Linked DNA regions of Tamandua tetradactyla. The protein of the gene in region 1 interacts with the protein of each later gene in a biochemical or structural test. Links are inferred from orthologs where the notes say so. Each region holds a gene or a part of one and is shown in the gene's direction. Other genes may lie near its edges.

Region 1 (8,057 bases):
GGCGAAGCCGGGCTCGTTGGCCGGTTCCAGGGCCGCGCGCGCCTCCTGGGGGAAAGAGGGAAGATGGGGGGAAGACAGGGGCGCACAGGGGCGGGGAGACAGGGGGCGAGGCAGTGGGCCAATCACAAGCCAGCTCCCAAAAGGGGCTACCAAGAGCAAGCGCAGGACAGGGGATAGAGATGGCTGTTCCTGGAGTAATCCATGCCCACACGCCCGCCGCGGTTGGATAGGGACACAGGTGGGGCCTCCGGGGAGGGGGCGTGTCCCTGCCGCCTACCTGGAGGCCGCGGGGTCGGGGCTGGCACGGAGCGAAGTGACGGAGTGCGTCCCTCTGCAGCTGCACCTGCACGTGGCGGGGCACCCGGGGTATCTCTCCTGGACGGAAGCGGCGCACCGCAGCCAGCTCCAGCCCCAGGGCATCCGCGAAGCGCACTCTCTTGCGAGTGTCGGGGCTGCGGCTGCGGGGCGCTCGGAACCCCCCGCCTCCGGCGGGCGCTGAGCGGGCCCGGCGGCCCCGACTCGGAGCGTGAGCGCGGGACCGGGCCCCGAGCCTCGTCCCGCCCTCGCCTGTCTCCTCCTCCGGCTCTTCCTCGAGGCTGGGCCGTTGGCTGCGGTAGTAGGCGCGCTCGGTTAGCGCGGCAATAAAGCTCAGGTTGCGGGGGATGTCGGTGCGAGGGGGACGCTCGCGGGACATGGCATCCCCCAGCGCGGGCGGGCGCCCGCAGCGCTGCACGCTCCCCTCTCTCCGGCTCTCCCTCCCGCCCCGCGTCCCCCGATGGCGCGAGGTCGGCTCAGCACCCCCTCGCCATTGCGTACTCTCCTTGCTGTCACCTCCAAGAGTCTTAACTTCCCCTTCCTCTGCCTCGTCTCTGAGGCAACCTTCCCTCCCTCCGGCCCGGCGTCCGCTCCAGGGTCTGGGACCGTCACCTCCTGCGAGCTCCCTCGTCTGAGCGTGCGCTCAACGGCGCTCACCCTCCAGCCCCGCGGCCTCCGCGGCCTCCGCCGCCCCGGCTCCCGCCCGCAGCCTTCTGACAGGTGGCTCCCCATCTGTCTCTGCTGCGGCTGCTGCTGCACCAGGGGGCGGGGATTCCACCCTTTCGGTCCCAGGTGAGGCCACCTTGCCTTCCCTTCATGTCCTCAACCTCTCCGGCACGGAAATGGTTAACTGAGGGAGGGACGAGTAACCTTTCCTTTTCTTGCTGAGAAGGTTCAAAACTTTCAGTGTGTAACTTTATCTTCAGGGCTTACTGTTTTCTTCCTACAACCGGAGGCTTCAGGTTTGGGTGGCGGGTGATGGTGGGCGCAGAGACGGGAAGGTCAGGTCAGGAAGGCTAGGTAGAGGCTTTCCAATAGAAGATGAGACGTGGTGTTCAAAAGGGTAGGTGGCTGAGCCCTGCCAGTTGGAAAGAGTTCTGGACTGAGTTGTACCTCCGCCTGTGGTACTGTTTAGCCTGACCTTAAGCAAGGCACAACTTCTCTGGACCTCAGTTTTCTTCTCTGTAAAACAACAACAGCAAAAACGGGTTAAAGGTATATGATCTCTAACCCGATGGTGAGCCCTTCAGGGGCAGGGGCTGCGTCTGCTTCATGGTCAATCTCGTTACATACAGACCCTCAAATTATTGAGTGCATAATTTGCACTCTACAACTCTTTTTTTTTTTAAACTTTTTTATTAATTAAAAATTAACAAACAAAACATTAAGATATCATTCCATTCTACACATACAATCAGTAATTCTTAATACCATCACATAGTTGCATATTCATTTCTTAGAACATTTGCATCGATTTAGAAAAAGAAATAAAAAGACAACAGAAAAAGAAATAAAACGATAATAGAGAAAAAAAAAAGATTATACATACCATACCCCTTACCCCTTGCTTTCTACAACCCTCTTGGATCTGGGATTGTTGGGTTCTTGTTCCAGTGGACATATCTTAGACCAAGTAGGGCACAGAGCCGGCTTTCCCCCTTTCATCTTTTCTACTTTACTGAAAAAGCACAAGAAGTGTTTTTTCTTTTTCTTTTTTGTCTTTCTAACTTTCCCACTAATCTTATATAGCACTTGCAATATTCTAGGTACTGTTTTAAGAGCTTTACAAATATTAACTCGTGAAATGCAGCTATCTTAGGAGCAGGGAGTATTAGTATCCCTATTTTATAGATGCAAAAATCAAGGCAGGGAGGGGTTAGGACCCTTGCCCCAGGGTCACATAGCTATAATAACTGGGGGGCTGGGAAATTTGGACCCCAGCAGTCTGGCTCTAGAGTCCACTTTCTAATCCTCATGGTTATATAAGGGTAAAACATTTAATGAAAATCGTTAACATCTTTACAGTATTGGACAATCAGAGTAGAAATGTCATCTCTAGATTTAGAACAGCAGGATAGTTTAATTGTAAAATCACAAGAGACTAAGCTATTAATAAACGATGTGTATCTTATTATTGTCCACCTCATTCTTGTTTGCATTTTAACTCTGGTATTTACCATAGCAATGCTCTTTAGCCAGGACTCTTTTTTTTTTTGCATGAGCAGGCACCTGCAATCAACCAGTTCTGGGGCATGGCAGGCAAGAACTCTGCCTGCTGAGCCACCATCGCCTGCCCAGGACTCATTTTTAAAACAACAATTGAGTTTTGTTTTTATTTTACATATGCATACAAAATCCATGGACATCTTCATATCTGAGGGTATAAAATAATCATATACTAATTTATGTTACAGTCAAGCAGTTTAAAACTGTCTTTCTTGCCCTGGTAAAATATGTGTCATTGAAGGAATATGATGTTAGTTTTTTGGGTGAAGGCTGTGTTGCTTTGTCTACAGATTGAGTTGCTGTTCCTTCTTGGCTCTGCGGTGTTGGTCTGAGAAAATCCTAGAGGTACATAGCTTTGGACCAGGTACACGTTGTGTTGGTTCAGCAACTCTGTGCCCCTGGCTGCTCAGACCTAGATTAAATCTTTCTTCTAAATCAGCCTTTATTTCTTAAGCAACTACTGTAGCTATTTTCACGTCTGGCTGAGACTGTTCAATAACTGGCCAGAGGCGTTGATTGGTTCACTCAGAATTTACTGAGAGTCTATTAGGCTATGAAGATGCAAACATGGATAAAACTTAGTTTCTGCTCTCAAGGAGGTTTTGAATAAATGGCAAATATATTTGGATCCTGAGATTTAAAAGTGTTTTATTTCAAGTAAGTTTCTTAGAAGAAACTACAATTCCAATTGAAGGCCTTGATTGGGTTATTCTCTAAAAAAGGGGGCAGCCTTACTGGAATGATCAGCCCAAGAGCAAAGGAGAATTGAAGATGGTAGGAGGGATACAGCCAAAAAGGAATGGACTAAAATGTGCACTTGGAAAAGAGGAGAAAACTGAGTTTGAACTTGTGAATGGTAGGAATTCAGACTGTGAGAACTGCAATGAATACCTAAAGGAAAGATGTGACCTTGAAGTAGTCTAGTGTATCAAAGTTAAGACGATAAGCTTTCAGGTTAGATGGAATTAGGTTGAGTCCCAGCTTCACCTTTCAATTCACCTTTGGGCAAATTATTTAACCTCACCAAGTCTCAATTTCCTCATCGACAGAATGAAGATAAAGCAGCATAAGGATTGGTGTAAGGATGAAATATCATGCTTGTAAAGAAAGCATTTAGCATCTAATTAATCCTCAAAGTGTATTAGTTGTTGCTGTTATTGTTACAGAAAAGCCCTTGCTTCTCCAAGTGACCATAGAAGCAGATAGGAATACCAAGGCTTGGACCGGAAGCAGAAACAGAGGAAACCAGCAGGAAAGCAGGAGAACTGGGTTACCTCTTTCTGGCCTTTGGTTGGGGCTCCTTCGAAATGGGCCCAAAGGAAGTGCTGGCTGCAAGGGATTGAGGCCTCTGTGAAACCAGCCGCTCCCACCCCCACTCCAGCCCCCATGAGGGGTCCCAGGAAGAATGCCTGTGAAGGCTTTGGGTGGATCAGCTGTGGCCAGACTCCCTCACTTCTGAACTGCCCTGGGCTCCTTAGCTCTATGCACATGTGCCATGTGTGGGAGAGAGAAAAGGTTCATAGGTCATCCAGAGACATGCTATCTGGAGAATAAATTTCTTTGAAGCCCTGGGGTTATGGGATCAACGCAGAGCAGGGCAATGTTGCGCTGCGACATTAAATAATAACTTGGATAAATCTCCAGTATCACAGGAAAAAATGAGTTACTGAATAATATTTACCATATGATTTAGTGTATGTAATAAAAGTCTAATATTTTGCGTATGTGTATAATCACACATACGTATACACACATTCATATACACACACACATATATGCTTATATACACAGCCACCACAAATCTGAAAGGATAAACAAAACATCAACTTTAACACTGGCAACCTCCAGGGAGGGAGGTAGAATGGGGGGGGCGGTGGAGGTAAGTGAAGTCGAGAATTTGTCGTTTTTGCTCTATACCTCTATATTGTTTGACTTTTCCATAATGAGAATGAGTTCATGTGCTGAGTAAAAAAACAATTTTTAAGAAAATCAATTTGATTTCAAAAAAAAAAGAAGAAGAAAAGTTACCTGCATGAACTGTTTGCAATCCAAGTTCTAGCCCCTGGATGTCTGGCCAGAGCCCCAGCCCATGGGAAGACCATTGATTAAAGGCCCTGGAGAAAAGAGGTTGGGAAAGGTTTGGTGACTATCTACTAGTCGCCCAAGGGCAAAGAACCTGGCAGGCAGATTTCAGGGTAATGGGAACTGCTCCTCTTTCCTGGGCACCCACTCCAGGCCTGGAAAAGTTCAACAAGTGCATGAGGCATCAGAGACCATCTGGAAATGCTGAATGGGTTCCGAGATTTCCCGAGGCCTGGAGCACTTCCCTGGGCAGCTCTGAGGCTGGCCCATGGTGCCCTCTTCACCCAGCTCTCCCTGCCCTTCAGAGGCCCTCTCTTTTCCCTAGTTGTGGCCCTTCCCAGGCCTGCGTCCCAGCCCCGCCCCTCTCTCTGGACGCATCTCTGGGCCCCATCATCACCCGGCGCCGGGCCCTCCCTCCCACCCCCCCTTTCTCCTCCCTCTTTCCTTCCCTCCCTTCCTCCCTTTCTCCCTCCCTCCCAGCTCCTGCACCAGGAAACGGCCTGGATCTCGGCCGCGGCCTGACCCGTGAGATCCCTAACCTGGCCGGCGGGCGGGGTTGGAGACAGGCTGAGGGTGGGGGTAAGGGAGGAGCTGGGCCTTTGGGCTGCACTGGGGGGAAGCTGGGAGTGGAGATGGTGTCGGCAGGAAGCCCTTGGCTCTGGGTTTCCCGGGAGGACAGTCATTAAACATGGATTCGGCCACACAGCTGGTAGAACGCTGGGGGCAGGGGCCCGGTCCCAAGAGCTGCAACCCCAGCCCTGCTCAGGCCAGACCCTGATCCCTGGCCTTCCCCACCTAGCTCTGATCTCCCCCTCACCTTCCCAGGGTTCCACGCTGGCCGGGAGGATGAAAGGCCCCAGCTGGGGGCTCCTTGCCACCAGCGCTGGGTCCTAAGAGCTGCCATCCAGGCTGGGTGAGTGTCCCCCTCCTTTCTCGGCCCCGGGCAACCCTTTGCTTCTCCTACCTTTCTCTTCAGCCCTTGTCTCCTCCCCATCTTGTGCCTCTGCCAGCATCTTCACATCTTGCCTCTGGGAGGTTCTAAGTGCTTTCCTGTAGCCCAAAGGATATACGAAGAGGAGGTTTGTAGGGCTGTCATAAAGCTGGTGTTGTCTTTTTATGGCAAGAATCTGATGTAGTACCATTTACTTTGGCATATTACACATTTGATTGCAGCCCCTCAGGCTTGGATGCCTCACCATGATTTAAGTCCCCTGTTCTTAGACCTCCTTGCCCAGCGGTCTCTGAGTGTCCCCTCCCACCCCTACCCTGTCTCACTGGATGGCTGAGCCTGAGCTGTGCCTTCTGGGTCCCTTCCGTATATTCATGCCAGTCTTTCATCCCTGACTCTTGCAGCCGCCCGGATGGCGACCCCTGCCTCAGCCCCAGACACACGGGCTTTGGTTGCAGACTTTGTAGGCTACAAGCTGAGGCAGAAGGGTTATGTCTGTGGCGCTGGCCCCGGGGAGAGCCCAGCAGCTGACCCGCTGCACCAAGCCATGCGGGCGGCGGGAGATGAGTTTGAGACCCGCTTCCGGCGCACCTTCTCTGACCTGGCGGCTCAGCTGCATGTGACCCCCGGCTCTGCCCAGCAGCGCTTCACCCAGGTCTCTGATGAACTTTTCCAAGGGGGTCCCAACTGGGGCCGCCTTGTGGCCTTCTTTGTCTTTGGGGCTGCGCTGTGTGCTGAGAGTGTCAATAAGGAGATGGAGCCTCTGGTGGGACAAGTGCAGGAGTGGATGGTGACCTACCTGGAGACACGGCTGGCTGACTGGATCCACAGCAGTGGCGGCTGGGTAAGAAGCTTCTCAGTTGTTGCTCTGCCCATCCCTCTGCAAAACTGATCTCCTGGGGGGAAGGTGGGGGCTCTGACTGGGGGCTGGGGAGAGCTGTGCTGGGAATGAGGCATGGGAGCTGAGTTCCCCTGTTTGGGTAGAATCAGACTGAGAGACACCCTCCCTGTGGGCACACGCTGGACTCTGCACGTCAGGGCTCGCTGCCATGCAGTAGTCACTGGACAGGCTCATGGTCCCAAGCAGAGAGGACAGACTACACAGCCCAAGGAAAGCCTGTAGGTGTTAGGCGAGGCTTTCAGGAGCTTTCTACACCCAAGTACGTGGATAGCATAGGGGAAGCAGTGAGGGGGTCGGGGGTGGGCAAGACCTGGTGAAGGATGCCAGCTCTGAGCAGAATTTTTGACCAAGTAAGGATGGGAGTCACCTGAGACTGACAGGGCGAATGAGCCACGTGCTCATGGGGGACACATGGGAGTATCAGAGGGGCTCGAGGCCAGCAGAGCTTTGGTCAGAGAGGAACTGGGTGTTTGGGGGTGCTCACAGTGGATGGAACTGGAACTCTTCCTCTCCTTTTTTCTCCATTCTTTCCTCTCCTGATATCCTTTCTCCTTCTCTCTCCTACTTCCCTTCTCTCCCACAGGCGGAGTTCACAGCTCTATACGGGGACGGGGCCCTGGAGGAGGCGCGGCGTCTGCGGGAGGGGAACTGGGCATCAGTGAGGACAGTGCTGACGGGGGCCGTGGCACTGGGGGCCCTGGTAACTGTAGGGGCCTTTTTTGCTAGCAAGTGAAAAAGTCCAGGGCCAGGTGGGGCTAGGTGTGGCTGGGGGACAGGAGCAGGAACAGAAAAGAGAAATGCCCTTGGAAGAAGTGGGGTGAATAGATGGGCAGGAAACGGGGATGGGAAGGGGAAGTAGAGGGTGTGAGGGAGCTGAGTGAAGCAGGTGGTTGGAAGTTGAGCTGGAGACACTGGAGAATGAATGTACTGGGAAGGCTGGAGGGCCAAGAGATAGTCACATTCCAGGGGTGGGGGGTGGTGGGAGGGATCATGCCTATAGGTGTGGGCACACGGAACTGCACCTGGAGCGTGGTTTGCAGCCCTAAAGAAGGTAGACTTGCATAGGGGGTTGCATCACCACTGGATGGGTGGAATTTGGGGAGACATAGAAGGTACATCCCTTTGGAATGGAAGCTCAGGGTACTCAGGTGATAGGGAGAGGTGGCTGTGACGGTGGGCTGCTTGGACACACGTGTGCATGTGCACGTGTGCTCATGTGCATGCTGGGCTGCTTGTCTAATCTGGCGGTGGTGGTATTCTTCAAGGCTAAAACATTCCCTCTTGCAGTGGCAAGAACAAGGGGCAGCTCTCTGCCCTTCCTCCCAGCTCCCTCCTTCCCCCTCTTATCCTGATGTCTCAAGGCTGAGGGAGAAACATTTTATCCAGGCTGAGGGCACTTCTCTGCAAAAAGTAGTTGGCAGGGCTTTGGAGAAAAGAGCAGTTCTGCAGCTGGCCTTGTTCCTTCATCACTCCCTTCCTTGTGCATCACGCACTTGCTGCTGCCTTCTGGGCTCTGATGGAAAGGCAGGGCTGAGGAGCCTGGGTGGGTAGAGGCCTGGGTAGCTGGACCTGCCTGCCACCCTC
Region 2 (7,941 bases), on another chromosome or scaffold:
ACTATAACCCAAGGATTCTCTCTCCCCAACAGAAAAGGGACCGCTGTTCTGGGTTTTAAAGAGGCCAGCGTTCCTCAAGGTTCAAAATAGAGCCTGGGGTGGTAAAGAGTCCTGTAAACGTTAGCAATGTTCATCCCAACAAAGTGATCACCCAGCTTCGAGCCCATTCTCCGTGATCCTTGGTTACCCTCTCTGGAGGCTCCCCAGCCCTGGTGCCCAGGGGAGTCCCAGGGAGGGGTTGCTAGGCAGGCTCAGTGCTAGGCCCGGGGAATTCTGAGGAGCTGGGACAGCCAAATAGGTGGACAGGGAACAGACCCTCCAGTAAACAGCTCCCAGCAGTGGGACAGATCTGTGTCAGGTTGACAGGGCTATGGGAGCAGAGGGCAGTGACCATGCTATTAGGAGCAGAGAAAGAAGGGGACCCCAAGACCACCAGGCAGACGCGGGGTGGGGGGCAGCCAGCCCACCTAGCCAAATGCATGCCCTGATAGACACAAGCTGCTCGGTCACCATGCTAACACCTCCATAGGCCCTGGGCTAACTCCTGGCAACTGGACGCCAGGTTGAGGGTGGTGAGAAGGAAACAGGGTATCCCCAAGTTCCCATTTATTGGGGGTAAGAGGCATAATAGCCACATAATCACCATGCTACAGGCCCTAGGGGATGAGCCACCATTCCCTGACCAGGAGATGGCAGGCTTCAAAAAGGAGGTGACATCTGAAGCAAGTCTTGGGGAAAGGAGCCTGGGAGAACAAAGACCTGTCTCTCTTCCCTCCTTGGCACCCTCTCCTTGCCCACCAGCCACAGCAGAGGGCAGCAGCCCTTCTCAGCCCAGGAGCCCTCTTCAGGCCAAGGCTGACCAAACAGGCAGAGATGAGAGAAGAATACAAAGCAGTCAAGAGAAGACGGACAGAAGAACAGACACAGGAGACAGACGCTGTTTATTGAGTGGTTGATGCAGGAGAGGTAGCTGGCTCCGGCGTGGACGCGGAGGCAGCAGCTCATGCCGGCGTGTTGTGGGCATGTGGCAGCTACGGCCAGGCCCCCATCCTAAGTGGGGGGGACGGCACAAGCTCACTACGACAGGAGCAGCCAGGGAGCCCGCTGGGGAGCAGGCAGCCACAGCCCCCGGGACCCCAGGCAAGAAGCTGCAGATGAACTTGGCCCAGGGGCCTGGGTGAAGGGGGACTGGGGTCTGGGCATCCTGGGGAGCAGGAGGGGAGTGGGGGTTCACGTCTGTGGGGTGGAATAGAGACAGTGGTGGTGGCCGCCGGGTCCCGGCACCTGGGAGAAGAGCAGAGGAGAGGTCCGCGTCTGGCTGCCTCCGCACCAGCCCGGCTCACGCCCGATGGCGCCGTACCAGCTGCCTGAGCCTAGGCTGCCTGACATGCTGCAGACAGAGAAATAGGGTCAGTCCCAGGACAGTGACTGGGGCCACATGCATGGGAGCTGGGGGAGAGACCGAGGCTTAGAACAGAGCATGCTGGGAGGAGCTCCCGGGGAGCAGCCCCATGCCCCAGACCTCCAGGGCCCAAGGCTTGAGCCCCCGAGACCATTGCAAACTGCACCTTGGGATGGGGCGGGGCATGGGGTCAGCAATAGAAAAACCAGAGGTAGAACCCAGCCAGGGCCAGCGATGGGGGGACAAGACCAGGCTGTAGGTGCCCAAGGCTCCCGAGGCAGGGCGGGGACTCCTACCTGGTGCTCTCACCCCTGCTGTGCTCCCAGGAGCAGCCGTCGTCCTCACAGTGCCCAGCTCGATCGAAGAAGTAGGAACGGGAGCCAAAGACATGCCCACTGAGGATGCGGCTGGTGCTCTAGGGGGAGGAGACCACCCTCAGCACCTTCTCCCGGCTGCCACTGGCCTCCCATAAATCCCCCTGCCCCTGGCACTGCCACATCTGGCCCTCTCTCCACCGGCCCTGCAGCGGGGGGTGGTGGTGGGGTGGACTGGAGGCCCTCACCAGGTCCTGTGCCGGCCGGTGCACCCGGAAAAAGCCCACCAGCAGCGTGGTGGGCAACAGCTCCCACACAAAGAGGATGAGGCCGAACACCAGGTACCCTTTGTCCCCCAGGTCATTCACCAGGTCCGCCTGGGGGAAGGAAGGAAGGTACAGGGCTTGTTCCCATCTGCAATGGTGCCAATGGACCAGCGGGCCAGCCGGGAGCTGCGGCTGCTCCAGGATGCCCACCTGATCGGACACGTTGTACCAGTCGTAGTCGAAGGCGTCCAGCCGGCTCCGCGGGGCCAAGGCCAGGGCTGCCAAGTTGTAGCAGGCCCGGCTAGCATAGAGTAGGACCATGGCGCCACCCATGGCAGCTGCCTGGCACACACTGGTCCCCTGGCAAAGGTTTGTGACAGCTCAGGGAGAGGCAGCGCCCGGCTCCCTCTCTACCCTGAGGACCGCGGTTCCATACACGGGGCATCCGAGCCTCGGGGCCTACCTTGGTTTCCAGGTAGATGCTGGTGGAGGGGGCCCGCCGGGCCACCAGGCAGAGGCAGGCAGCAAGAGAGAGCGCGCAGATGACGAAGAGGGAGTCGCTCACCAGGACTCGTACCAGCAGCAGGGCCCAGGGCTGTGCCCGGCGCCGGTGGGACAGCACAGCGCACAGCACGTTCACCAGCAGAAAGAGCAGGGAGGCTCCCACAAAGGCCCCGCGCACAGCCAGCCTGCAGCCCACAGCACGGTCGGCTCCAGGTAGAGGCCCCCCGGCTCCCACCGCCCACCCCACCTCCCCACGGAGACCCCGGAGACCCCAGAGCCCGTCGGGACCTGCTCCTCCCCTTTGACAGATGGGGAAACTGAGGCCCAAAGAGGTCGGTAGGCGATCTGACAGCTGTGATACCGGGAATCAGACACCTGGGTTTGAGCCCTGGCTCTGCTTCCCGCCAGCTCTGTGACCTTGAACCTGCTGCTTTACCTGGCTGGGCTTCGGTTTCTTCATCTCCCGGATGGGGATAATAAGGACCTCACAGGCTAATTGTAAAACTTAAAGGTTTGTGACGGCTCTGTTATAAACTCTAAGATATTCTTACAAACCACAGGGGCATTGCTGCCCAGTGTCACCCAGAGGTGCAGTCTGACTCTGGAGCACCCATGGGCTGGTGCTTCCTGCCTTTCCTCAGACAATGAGACCCTCATCGCGCACACCCCCCTCCGCCGCCCCTGGCCCTTACAGGCTCACAGCTGCTTCCATTATTGTTGCCCTTCACACACGCAACGCCTCTAGTCCCGCCACCTGTGCCAGGTGCTTTAACTTTTCCAAGCTCGTTCACACACATTCCCTGAAGGTCTTCGTCTCAGCCCAGCAAGGTGAGGAGGGGTGGGAGGTGGCCCAAGCCCCCCCGGTGCCCTGAGTACTTACAAGCCTCGGCTCATCTCTGGCCGACGCTTCGCCTTGGCCTTGAACACCACCTGGGAGCAGAGATGCCCATCAGTCTTTGCAGCCCTTGGGGGCCCCTCACTACACACACACACACACACACACACACACACACACACACACACACACACACACACACACACACACCCTCCAACACCACCCGTTCCGACAGTTACCTGGGCAAAGTAGAGGTTCATGAGGGTCAGAGTGAAGAATTGCAGGCAGACGGGGCAGCAGTAGAGAAGCCAAAAGGGCAGGGGCCCCAGGCGGTTGGCTCGCGGGGTATCTCGGAAGTAGAAGGAAAAGAGGGTGGTACGCAAGGCAGCCCACAGCAGACAGAGTGCCAGGAACACCGTCTGATAGCTGAGACGCTTGTGCCCATACAGGAGCACCAGCCAGAGCTGGGCATAGACGGAGAAGAAGAGCAGGGCGTACAGGGTGGTGTAGGCTGCAGTGAGTCCCAGGGTCACGGCGGGCGGCAGCGCAGGCACCAGCCCAGCAGCAGGCACCAGGCCAGACAGGTTACTCTCCATGGCAGGGACGGCGGCCCGAATCCCGGAGACAGAGATGGAGGGGCTGGCCGGCAGCCAGGGAAATAAATACAGAGGGGAGAGGATCACAGGGTGCTGAGACAGAGAGATGGGGGAGTTCAGGAGGAAAGAAGTTGTGGCTGGCGCAGGCCCTTCTTCCGTGCCAGAGAGACCCTTTGCACCTGGGGGGCACCGACAGCCTGGGCCCTGAGCCGGAGCTCCTCACGCAGGGACATACGCTCCTCTCCAGAGCAGACGGGGGTCTCCTCCTTGGGCCACCCCCAGAACCCTGGGTGTGGGGGTGCAGATGCTGAAGGAGAGGGGTCCCAGGCCTTGGTCGCTCGGGAGGGTCCCAGCAGGAGGGGGAGAGCTGGCCTATGTCCGTTTGCTCAGGACAGCGGCCACTGCAGGGGTGCCCCAACGTCCCGCTCTCCCCCTCCCCAGGCTGGGAGGGAACTCGCTCCCTTCCAGTAATCGGGGTGGGGGGAGCGCCTCTGCCCTCTCGGGATTCCGGACGCCGCCCCCACCCCACCCCCCACCGCGTCCGCTCTCTGGTCGCGGGGGGCGGGAAGAGGCCGACACCGGGTGCCCGCGGCCGCCGCTGGGGAGCCGGCTCCGGTCGCCGGGACCCGGAGCTCCAGCTCCCCGGCTCCCGCTGTTCCGCCCCCTCCTGAGCCTGCGCCTGCGCCGTTCGCTACGCAAATTGCGCAGGGGCCGGCCCTGGCTCCGCAGCCCCGCGCCGCGCCCGCCGTGGGGCGGTTCGAGAATCGGCGCGAGCTGCGCTGCGGGCGGGTGCCAGGGGTTACGCGAGGTGGCGGGCGGCAGGGACGCGGGGAGGGCGCCGCACCCGCCCGTACGCCCTGGGGGGGCGCCGTGGCCTGGACCACTGCGCGGGCTCCCACGTTTCCCTCCCCTATTCCCGATTTGGATCGCGCCGCCCGCACGGGGGCGGGGACTTCGCCTCTGAAGGACACTTCCGCCCACAGTCAAGATGGCTCCCCGGGCCCCGCCCCCGGGCCCTTAACCCGCGGGGTCCCACCGCGGCTCCCGCTCACCTGGTCAGAGCCTTGCACGCCGCCCCACCAGCCCTACGGTTCGCCCTCACAGGGGCCCCTGTCCTTTCTCCTGAGCCCGGGCGGCCATCCTGCCAGGGCGAGGCTCCCTCTCTTATCTCGAGCGCACCCGAGACGGCGCCGGGAGTGGTGCCCCAGCTGCGGGAGGCGCGGGGTTTCCACGCTGGGGAGGAGGAGGGCGCGGGACTTCCCGACCGGGTCACCCAGTGCAGACCGAGCAGTAACAGTAATTGGAGCCGCGGCTGGACATCAAGTACGGCCTCGGCTGGTGCTTTCGCCCCCAGCAATCACTGCTCGGTTTACAAAGTTTTCACTGGCTGCTGAGGGAGGTGTCATTATCCCCAATCCAGACGGGTGGAAACTAAGGCCCAGAGGGGCGGAAGGACTTGTCAGCAGAAGCAGGTCTCCAGGCTCCAAACGGGGACTCCAGAGAATCCCTCACCTGCTTCCGCACACACCCCAGGCGTGAGGAAGCTGGGAGCTGAGCATCCAGGGACCAGCCCGGGACCCGAGAAGAAGGCGAGGGGCAGGACGGGCGGTGGGGCGGGGCCCGGTTTGGCCACGCCTCGCGGCCGGCCCGAGTGACATTGCAAAAGCCTATTGGGTCCGGTCAGTGACAGTTCCCGTTGCCCAGGTAACTAGGGCCGGGCGCCCTGAGTACTGCAGGGAGGCGGCGGGCCCGGGTCAGGGGCCTCGAGATTGGGCTTAGGGTGAGACCTGTGGGCCGTTGCCTTGGCCGGGAACGAGCCGGGGACTGCCTCACAGCCCCAGGGCCCGATGGTAGAGTTGGGTACTGAGTGGATAGGCTGAGCTCCTCCTATCCGGGCCAGACTCTGAGGATAGATGGGGGGCCTGGGAGGCAGGCCGGATCTGCGGGTTCCACGGGTAGGGAGGGAGCCAGGGGTACCTGCCCCCCACCCGCAGCGGCCCCAGCTGTCTGCCCTGACCACCCACTCTCTTGTCCCCACAGCCCGGAGCATGTTCCAGATCCCAGAGTTTGAGCGGGAAGATTCCAGCCTTGCAGATAGGGATCTGGGCCCCAGAGCCTCAGGGGACCAGCCTTCAGGCCTGTGCAAGCACCACCACACGGTTCCAGGCCTCCTGGGAGACGACAGCGGTCATCAGGGGCAGCCAGCTGGCAGCAGCCACCATGGAGGTAGGCAATCTCTTCAACCACCTGGCCCTCATAGCCCCCTGTACCCCAGCCACATTGACACTCACTGACTGGCTTTGGATAAGTCCATAACCTTTCTGAGCCTCGGTTTTCCTCTTCTGTAAAACAGAACACTCATCACCACTCAAAGGCTGTTGGGTATTAGCAGCAATATATAGGAAGCACTAAATTATAGAGTACTGATGCAGAGTACTTGCTCGGAAGAAAACATAGCTGTTATTGTAGGGCCAGGACAAATCAAAAGAACAGGCAGGGAGAAAGGGGAAGTGACTTGCCTAAGGCCACACTTGCTTGATGGAGGTTCCTTTGGTAGGTGGGGCTGGGAGACTCCTTGGTGCCCTGCCCCTAGGCTATGCCCTGCCGCAGACTATACCCCACCCCCAGGCTGCCTTCTTTCCCTGGGACTGGGCTTTCTAGCTTCCTTCCAGCTCCTGCCCACTCCAGGGCTAACCTCAGCTGCCAGGGGCAGGTGACCCCAAGTGGTAGACAGCTCTCCCAGGCAGCGGGGCCTGTGGGGGTTTGAGAAAGATGCTAGTAGAAGTACCCCTGCAACCTGGGCTGTCCTTGCATCCACTGAGGCCCACTGCTGGGGACATTTCTCAGTAGTCCCCCGTGCTCAGCACAGGCCTAGGTCCCTGCCCTGGGACAATCCCAGAGGCCTTCTGGAAAACAAAAACATGATCCCAGTCCCTGTTTTCTTCAGGAGCATGAAAGCTTATGCAGCCTCTATCTCAACCCCCCCAACCCCTCGCTCACACACACACTCTAATAATTTCCAGATCTTTTTATTTGTTGTTTCACCCCCAACACACACACACACCTAGCAATAGTACTCATCCTTTGGTTCCCCTGGCAGCATTCACATGCTCCACCGATTGAGTGCTTGACGTGGGCCACGCACTGTTCAGTTACATCTGTGAGCAAAAGAAATAAAAATCCTGGCCTTGTGGAGCTCACATCTCTAGTGGGATGGGGAGAGACAGGCCATAAACAAACAAGCCGACAAAGGAAATTACAGAATGTGATAGAGGTTTGTATTGCTGCTGGGTGGGTGGAGGGAAAGCTGCAGAGAAAAGAGAATGTGGAGCCCTAGGGCATGGGGTGGTCAACCTAGCTAAGAAGCAAGAGGTTCCGGCAGATACCTGTGGGAAAGCCTTCCAGGTGGCGGGAACAGCAAATGCTAAGGCCCTGGGGGCAAGGTAGTGACTGCATTGTCCCGGGCTTCTATGGCTGGAGGGGACAGTGAGGGGAAACAAAGTTGGAGAGGAGAGTAAAAGAGTTAAGGGACAAGGGACAGGGACGGGCACAGGCAATCTGGGCTGGGTCTGGAAGGCCATTGGAAGGAAGGGCTTTGGCTTTAACCCCGAATGCAAACGCTGGAAGGCCTTTGAGCTGAGAGGGTGTGATGGGATTGGGGCATTACCATCACCAGGGTTGAGGGGAGACTGTAACTGGCAAAAACAGAAGCAGAGATAATCCTGTCGCAATAATCCAGGAAAGAAAAGAGGGGGGGTTGGGCCAGGGTGGTGACAGCGGCGGGTGGTGAGAAGAAGCTGGATTCCAGGTCTGTTTGAAAGGTCCAGCTGGTGTGATTTGCTGGCGACTGGGTGAAGGTTGAGAAGGAGGAGTCAAGGGGAGGGGGCGCCCCCAAATTTTTGGCCTGAGCCCCTGCAGGGATGGAGTAGCCCTTAACTGAGGTGGCAGAGGGTGGGGTACGGGTGGCAGTCAGGAGCCCTGTTTGGTCCATGTGAGGTCAGAGGACGCTTCTAGAAGGGCACAC
Region 3 (7,122 bases), on another chromosome or scaffold:
CACCTGCAATCCTACTGCCCAGACAGGACCACTTTGCTTTGTTGTGTTTCCTACCAGAACTTTCTTATACAGGGACTTTTAGAAATGTGGGATTTATTCCTGAAACCCAGAGGGACCAGCCTCTCCAAGATTATCAATTAATTACCTCCCCCTATCCTTTAGTGTTGACACCCCTTCACAACATGAAAAAGCCAGAAAGGGGGCGGGCCGCGGTGGCTCAGCGGGCAAGAGTGCTTGCCTGCCGTGCCGGAGGACCCCGGTTCGATTCCCGGCCCCAGCCCATGTAAAAAACAAACAAACAAACAAAATATAATAAAACAAGAAAATGTTTAAAAATGTTTCCCTTTCTTCCTCCCTTCCTTCCTTCTCTGTCTTTCCTTCCTTTCCTCCCTCTCTCTAAATAAAAAAAAAAAAAAAAAAAAAAAAAAGCCAGAAAGGGCATTGCCCAGGGATCCCTATGGATTAGGAGAAGGATCCGGGGGAATGGAGGAGGCATAGCAGAGAGAATAGGATTTGGAAAACAAGTATGACTGCTGAATCACTATATTAATATCCCGTCTAGCCTCCAGCGTTTAGGAGCATCTAGAAGGAAAAAATCTGGAGGAATGGTAGCCCATGACAAATTCTGGGACCTGTTCTGTAACTACTTGCTGAGGTGTGCTTTGAAAATTACTGCTTTTTTCTTTCTTTGCTTTGTATATGTTATAGTTTATAATAAAAAATGTTTTTAAAAGTATGGGATTTATAGTGGACACACTAATTTGTAAAACACACTATTTTATCTAATAGATCACACATCTCCAAGATACAGTACCTTTTGTGGACATGTTAAAACTCTTTACCATTCAGCCATAAAAAGGAATGAAGTTCTGACACATGCTACGAGATGGTTGAACCTGGAAATCATTATGCTAAGTGAAAGTACCTGACACAAAAGGCCACATATTGTCTGATTCCACTTGTATGAAAGGTCCAGCACAGGCAAATCCATAGAGATACAAAGCAAATTAGAGGTTGCCAGGGGCTGAGGTGGGGGGGCAGAGTGGGGAGTGGCTGCTTAATGGTGTGGGGCTCCTTTTGGAGTGGAAAATGTTCTGGAACTAGATAGTGGTTACATTTGCACAACATTGTGAACGCATTAAATGGCACTGAATTTTACACTTTAAAATGGTAAATTGTATGTTAGGTGCATTTACCACTATACAGGTGGTAGAGGCAGGATTCGAACTTGGTACATCTCAGATCTCACCCACCAGGCTGGCTGCAAGTCGTCTTCCCAGAGAAGACTCATAATCAAACACAAGTTTGCTTTACTCTGGGTGTGGCAGCGGGGAGTGGGGTGTCACAGACTTTCAGAAGTCCAGCTACAGTCTTCAAAGGTGGATGGGACAAAGGGTTCCAACCTCTTGGCTGTGTGCCCTGGTGCCGGTTAGAACCCCTCTCCAAGGCTGGTCTCTAGTGGGGAGACTCTGTCCCTATGGATTTGCCTATGCTGGATTTTTCATACAAGCAGAAGGAGGTACATGAAACCACCCAGGCAATGTGCCCGGCCCACTGTGCTCCCTGCGAGGTGCTCCTGGGAAGGGCGCAGGTGAAATGCACGGGTGAGGAGGGGGCCTGCCAGGCTGCTCTGCCTCCTGGCACTAAACTCAGGCCCAGCTTGGGAAAGAACAGAGAAGCCCTTTGAGGAGCCGACCCTCCTGATATTACACAGGCTTCCGCAGAGCCCGCAGAGCTCAGGGATTTTCCAGATAAGGTGTCACCTCAAGGCTGGGCATAAAAGTCTGGGATGACGAGTGGCCAGACAGGGCCATTTCAAACCCACACCAGCTTCTGGCTCTCCAGGTGGGGCTCTGGACACCGAGGCCAGCACTTGGCAAGCAGGTGGTCATTTTCTTGTCCACCCTGCACACGCTGCCAGCTCTGTCCCTTCCTTCCCCTCTCCAGCCATGGGCATCACCCTCAGGTCTCTGGAAGGCTCCTCTCCTCACTTCCCTCTGTGCACGAAGTTCGCCTCGCTCAGAGCCTCCTCTGGCCACCCTGGCTAAAAGGCCCACCCCTGTCCTCCACCCTCCACCCCTCCCCTGCTCCACGCTCCTGCGCTGGTGCTGTGCCTGTGACTGCTGGACACTATTTTCCCGTCACCAGGTTTATCCTCTATCTCCTGCACTAGGATGTGTCATCTCTGGACCCCATCACCGACCATCCTGCCTGGCACGTGCCAAGTTTCACTCAATTTGTTAAATGAATAAGCAAATAAATGCATATCAATGACAACCTGAAGTGGTGCCCAAGGGTCTGTGGGCAGTAGATCCTTGAATAACAGACAAAAGCGGTCATGGTCGCAGCAGGAGGGGCTTGGGTGGGGGGGTGGAGGGGGGGTGGGGGGGTGGGGGTCGCTAGGAAGGTTCAGAGGCCCCAGAGGCAGCTCCCCTGGACTGCCACTCAGGTAAGGAAGGGACTGCACCACGGGCCTGAGTGCAGGATCCCCGGGACTTGCACCCACCTCTGCTGCTGTCCTCCCTCTGCTAAGCCTCAGTTTCCCCATCTGTAAAACAGGTCACAAGTTGTCCCGTGCCTGTTCACGCACCCTGTGAGTGCTCCAGCTTGTCATATGGAAGGGGTGTGGTCCGTCCTGTCACATGGGGGTGGTTGGCTGCAAGAGTACAGGAGCTCCTTATTAGGGAGTGCTTAGCCCTAGGTGTGGGGGCCAAACAGGTGGGACAAGTCACCTTATCCTTGAACTGTTAATACCATTTGCCATCTAACCCAGGGCCTTTTTTGGACTAAAGGACCAATTCTTATTCAAAAGGATTTTGCCTCTTCCTCCATTTAATCAGCATATTACCAAGGGAACTTGCAAGGCAAATTTTTTTAACCCACTCCTCCCAGCCCTTCTATCCCCCATCTATCCCCAGACTGACCTCCTTCCTCTGTTTGCTCTGCTAACATTGATTGAGTGCCCACTCTGTGCCCTCTGCAGTGCCCTTGCTTCACCCGAGGGCCCTCAGGGGGCATTTCTACCCACCTCGGGTCTTTTGGCCTGTAACACCCTGTGTCACCGCTTCTGTTTCACTTTCCCTGAGTATTTTGCTGGCTCCTCACTCCTGCCTGTAAGGCACCCTGTGGCCGGCCAGACCCTGGGGACAGCGGCTTTGTGGGGCTTAGGCTTTATGAGACCTGGGGACCTCATTAAGACAGGGACATGCATTTACAAAGACATTTGGGCTCTGAGTTCTTCAAAGCTTCGCTAACTTTCCCCTCTGACCCTAACAGCTCCAGGGGTCGGTGCCGTCTTCCCTTTTAGCACATGAGGACACTGAGTGAGAGGCTGGTCACCCCAGTGGTGATGTGACCCTGAGGGCCCCACAGGTGGCAAATGGCAGAACAGCCCAGGGAGCCCCCTCTGGGCCCCACCCTATGCCCTCAGATCAGACTGAGGTAAACAAGCCTTGTTGTGTTCTCCAAACAAAGGTTACTTTGTTATCCCTGCTCAGCCTCTCCCTTCCTCCACCCCAAACAGCCCCTAGGCCTGGCCTGGGGGTTTCTGCTCCCTCCCCCCACTCAGGGCTCCTTCCATTCCTCCTGCTTCCACAGGAGCTCTGGGCACCACCTCGCTCTAGCCTCCACTGCTTGTCCACCCTCCATTTTCTTGCAACAAGGAGCCCCAGGGCAGGTCAGGATGCCCCAGCTTTGCAAGGCTTGGGGGGTACCGGGAACAGGTGTGTGCAGGCCAAAGGCTGCACCAAGCCGGGATGGAAGCAGTGATGGGGGTGGGGGGAAGCTGCCCTATTTTCTACATTTGCGAAATTTGCTTACAAATACCTAATTCCCGAAGCTACCAGTGTAAAGAGTACGGATATCTGAGCACTGACTTCACACTGCCACTCAGCAAGTCATTTTGTCCTCTCTGAGCCTCAGTTTTCTCATCGGTAAAATGGGCACCGGAAAAAGCACCGACCCCTTAGGACTTTTTTGAACGGAATGAAGGTTGTATACAGTGGCGCAGATTTGGCCAGTAGCTCCATCCCCAAATATTCCGCCTGGGCTACTGCATGCACAGTCGGCAGCGAAAGGACAAAAACAAGCTTGCAGATTTGCGGAGCCACAGAGACAATAAACAAGTACGCAGATTACACTTGTAGCAGTTCTGTTACCATTTGCGGTCTCAGTCTTGGCCTCCGGGAGGTGGGGCGAAGGAGGCCGCCCTGGGGGCGGGGTCGCAGGGCGGGCGGGGCCTCGAATTCCAGGTGGGAGGGGGAAAGGGCGGGGCCGACGGCGTCGGGGCCAGAGCGGGCGGGATGGAGGCTGGGCCGCGGGCGCGAACCCCCCTGAAGAGAGGGGCTTGGGCGGGGCGTGGGCGGGGCCCGGCCGGCCTATCCTGTCCCGGGCCGTCCGCAGAGCCTCAGACAATACACCTCCCGGGTCACGCCACCGCCAGACGCCGCCGGCACTGTAGCCACCGCCGCGGGGGTGACTGCGATCCAAACGCGCCCCGCCCGCGTCCTCTACCTCGCTGCTGTCCGACCCTCCGCCCAGCCCGAGCCGGGCAGGTAAACGCCCTGGGGGTCGCCGGGGGGTCCGAGCGGGTGGAAGGCTGAGGACCCGTGGCCCAGGTTTTCGTCCCCAGGGAAAGTGTAGGATGTGGTATGTGCGGAGCGGAGACTCGGAGACCTCGGCTCTGCGATCGCCCCGGATGATTCCAGTTGCGGCCCCCTGCGGGCCTCAATCTCCGCATCTGAGCAATGGGGTGGTGGCCCCCTTGCCCGGCGCCGCCCTCCTGCGCGGCCTCCCGGCTCTGGGCTCCATCTCGATCTCGATCTATTGGGGGCCGTCGGGGGATGGGTTGGGCGGGCAAGAGTGCGGTGCCGGACCCCAGGCCCAGAGCCGGGACGTCAGAGCCCCAGGTTCCCCTAAAAAAAGGGAAGATGGCGTCGGGCACCTGTCCCCACCGGGACCCGAGCGCCGGGAGCCTCCGCGCACCTGCGGAGGGGTCGGAGAAAGGCTTTATCTTAGAGCGCCGGGAAAGCCCGGAACAGGAACTGGTGAGCGGAGCCGGGCGCCGCCGCTGACCCGCACCTGCCCACGCCCCTGCACAGGTGCGCACAGCGGGCGGAGCCGCGGCTCGACCCCGAGGCGGGGCGCCAGGCTCTTGTTTTGTAAACAGGGAGCCGCCAGCCCGCGCGCTTAGCGTTTGAATGGGCTCGGGGACGCGGTTCTTCGGTCACCCGGGAGGGGACCCGGCGCAGCCTGCGGGCCCGGCTTTAATAAGCGCTGGCGGGCTCCCGGCTTGTTCAACTTTCGCGGTGGCGCCTTGGCCTCCTGGATGCGCGTCCGCTTTGGAAACCGGTAATTGCTACTCTGATATTCTCCCGGACCATCCATCCCTGGGGCACGGGACGTTGTTGCCGCTGCACTTGCAACATTTTTTGAGCACCTGCTGTGACCGGCCCTGTATCAAGTGCCCCCCCCCACACACACACCTGTAATCCTTGCCCCAGTTCGCAGAGAAAGGGACAGTTAGCAGCCTTGTAGTTCCCACGTTGAGAAGGGGAAAATCCAGCCCATACTAGGAAGATGTGCTAGCCGCTCCCGACACAGGAGATTTCATTTTACAGACGGAGAAACTGAGACCAGCCTCCCACCGCCCAGAAAGGGATATAAACAAATACCCAAGCTGCAGAGCTCAAAACCCAGAGCTGTTTTCTTGAAGCCAAGACTCTGCTCTCCACTCAGCGGCTTTCCAGCTATGTGGACTTCCACAGGCTACTTCACCTCTTTGAGCCTCAGTTTCCTCCTTCTGTAAAATAGAGATTACTGCATTCTCTAAAGGAACCCCGGAGGAGTCTGGCCAGGTATGGAGAAGCCATGCCAGCCCAAGGGCAGCTAGCTGTTAGCAGCACCCTAGAGTTAATGATACTTAACCTTTTTTCTACTTGGAGTTTTTCACCTCTTTGGGCAGAGCCTCAGAATAACTTCTCAAGTGGTACAATTTTGGTGTTTCTTGATACCGTCTGGTGGTGGTTCCCTGAATGGATGGGCACAGGTGATCACAGGCAGGAGCCAGGTCCTCTCCCAGAGGCAAAGGTGGCAATGAGTCCTTCTGCTCCCGGGCAGCTGTGCGTACCTGGGTGCCTGGAGGCTCAGTAGCCTGCCTGACCTTCCTTATCTCGCTGCCCTCCCGCCTTGCCTCGTCTGTTCTCCACTCCTCCCCCTCGCTTCTCACTCCTGGATTTGGGGATTTCCCACTATCTTCTGAACCTTAAGGTCACAGGAGCCTTTAGGGACTGATTTAGCTGCGGCTTTCCCACAAGCTTGGTTGCACCATTTTCCTTTACTTTTCTAGCTTTTCGTTTATATAATGGTTATTAAATATCAGGGGAAACTGGCTGCCAGGGTGTGGGTTTTCGGCCAGTACCTCAAAAATGTCCTTTTCCAGGGCTGCGAAATTATTTAATCAACTTTCTAAGATAGCTTCTAGTCGCTTTAGGGGAAGAAGGAGGGTGATGGGGAAGTTGATAAATGCTGCTGACCATCTCCAAGCACTGGGGATGCAGGGTGAACTTCCATGGGATATTGCGAGGCCTCGGGATCACCCGGGTGAAACATTTAGTCCCATTGGGTGCTCGGCCCCTCATACGTTTTGTCTTTGCCTTCTTGGCCCAGTTGCCGCTTCCTCTGAGAAGTCTTCCCTGAACACCCCTCCCTCCCTACCACCACTCCCTTGGTCTGTGACCTTGCTTTGTCTTCAAAACACAGTAGAAAGTGGGAAGTTATCTTCTGCGTTAATGTGTACAGAGTGGCCCCCCTAGCCTTCACTTCTGTGAGAAGAGAAGCCTTGAATGTCATGTTCACTGCCATATCCTGGTGCCTGGGCACTTGGGTAACAGATGGAAGGGCTGCCTACACGTTAATTATTGTGAGTTTTAGGTGCTTAGTACATATAACAGCAGAAAAATGACATCTGAAATCACTAAGCCACAGAGAAGAAACCAGAGACCACTGCGAACAGGTCCATTTTTCCCCTTCTGATCAACTTTCTGGAAAATAAATGGAAGGTGGCAACTGGGGAAGACTTTGATTCAAAAGTGAGTCTTGGAGCTGCAGCCACGGGAGGTATTT

What was found.
Region 2: the proteins of BCL2L2 (region 1) and BAD interact in a biophysical measurement, tested with the Homo sapiens proteins (4 studies listed by BioGRID and IntAct, with this or other methods). The link is inferred for Tamandua tetradactyla from reciprocal best matches to the Homo sapiens genes BCL2L2 and BAD.
Region 3: the proteins of BCL2L2 (region 1) and BIK interact in a biophysical measurement, tested with the Homo sapiens proteins (2 studies listed by BioGRID and IntAct, with this or other methods). The link is inferred for Tamandua tetradactyla from reciprocal best matches to the Homo sapiens genes BCL2L2 and BIK.

The regions. Positions count from the first base shown.
Region 1 is NC_135340.1:31,574,320-31,582,376, reverse strand, and holds the start of BCL2L2 (bcl-2-like protein 2), read left to right. Parts: upstream 1-5,055; 5' UTR 5,056-5,148; exon of another isoform or gene 5,149-5,448; 5' UTR 5,449-5,536; exon of another isoform or gene 5,537-5,673; intron 5,674-5,976; 5' UTR 5,977-5,984; coding exon 5,985-6,416; exon of another isoform or gene 6,417-6,468; intron 6,469-6,957; exon of another isoform or gene 6,958-7,056; coding exon 7,057-7,206; 3' UTR 7,207-8,057. Other genes in the region: PPP1R3E (protein phosphatase 1 regulatory subunit 3E), read right to left, coding at 1-45, 278-694. UniProt on the Homo sapiens protein: Promotes cell survival. Blocks dexamethasone-induced apoptosis. Mediates survival of postmitotic Sertoli cells by suppressing death-promoting activity of BAX.
Region 2 is NC_135335.1:10,363,100-10,371,040, forward strand, and holds the start of BAD (bcl2-associated agonist of cell death), read left to right. Parts: upstream 1-4,849; 5' UTR 4,850-4,972; exon of another isoform or gene 4,973-5,007; intron 5,008-5,047; exon of another isoform or gene 5,048-5,872; intron 5,873-5,957; 5' UTR 5,958-5,965; coding exon 5,966-6,143; intron 6,144-7,941. Other genes in the region: integral membrane protein GPR137, read right to left, coding at 1,231-1,390, 1,699-1,817, 1,965-2,093, 2,193-2,342, 2,446-2,671, 3,367-3,416, 3,561-4,010, 4,097-4,150. UniProt on the Homo sapiens protein: Promotes cell death. Successfully competes for the binding to Bcl-X(L), Bcl-2 and Bcl-W, thereby affecting the level of heterodimerization of these proteins with BAX. Can reverse the death repressor activity of Bcl-X(L), but not that of Bcl-2.
Region 3 is NC_135333.1:36,798,871-36,805,992, forward strand, and holds the start of BIK (bcl-2-interacting killer), read left to right. Parts: upstream 1-4,055; coding exon 4,056-4,124; intron 4,125-4,401; coding exon 4,402-4,553; intron 4,554-7,122.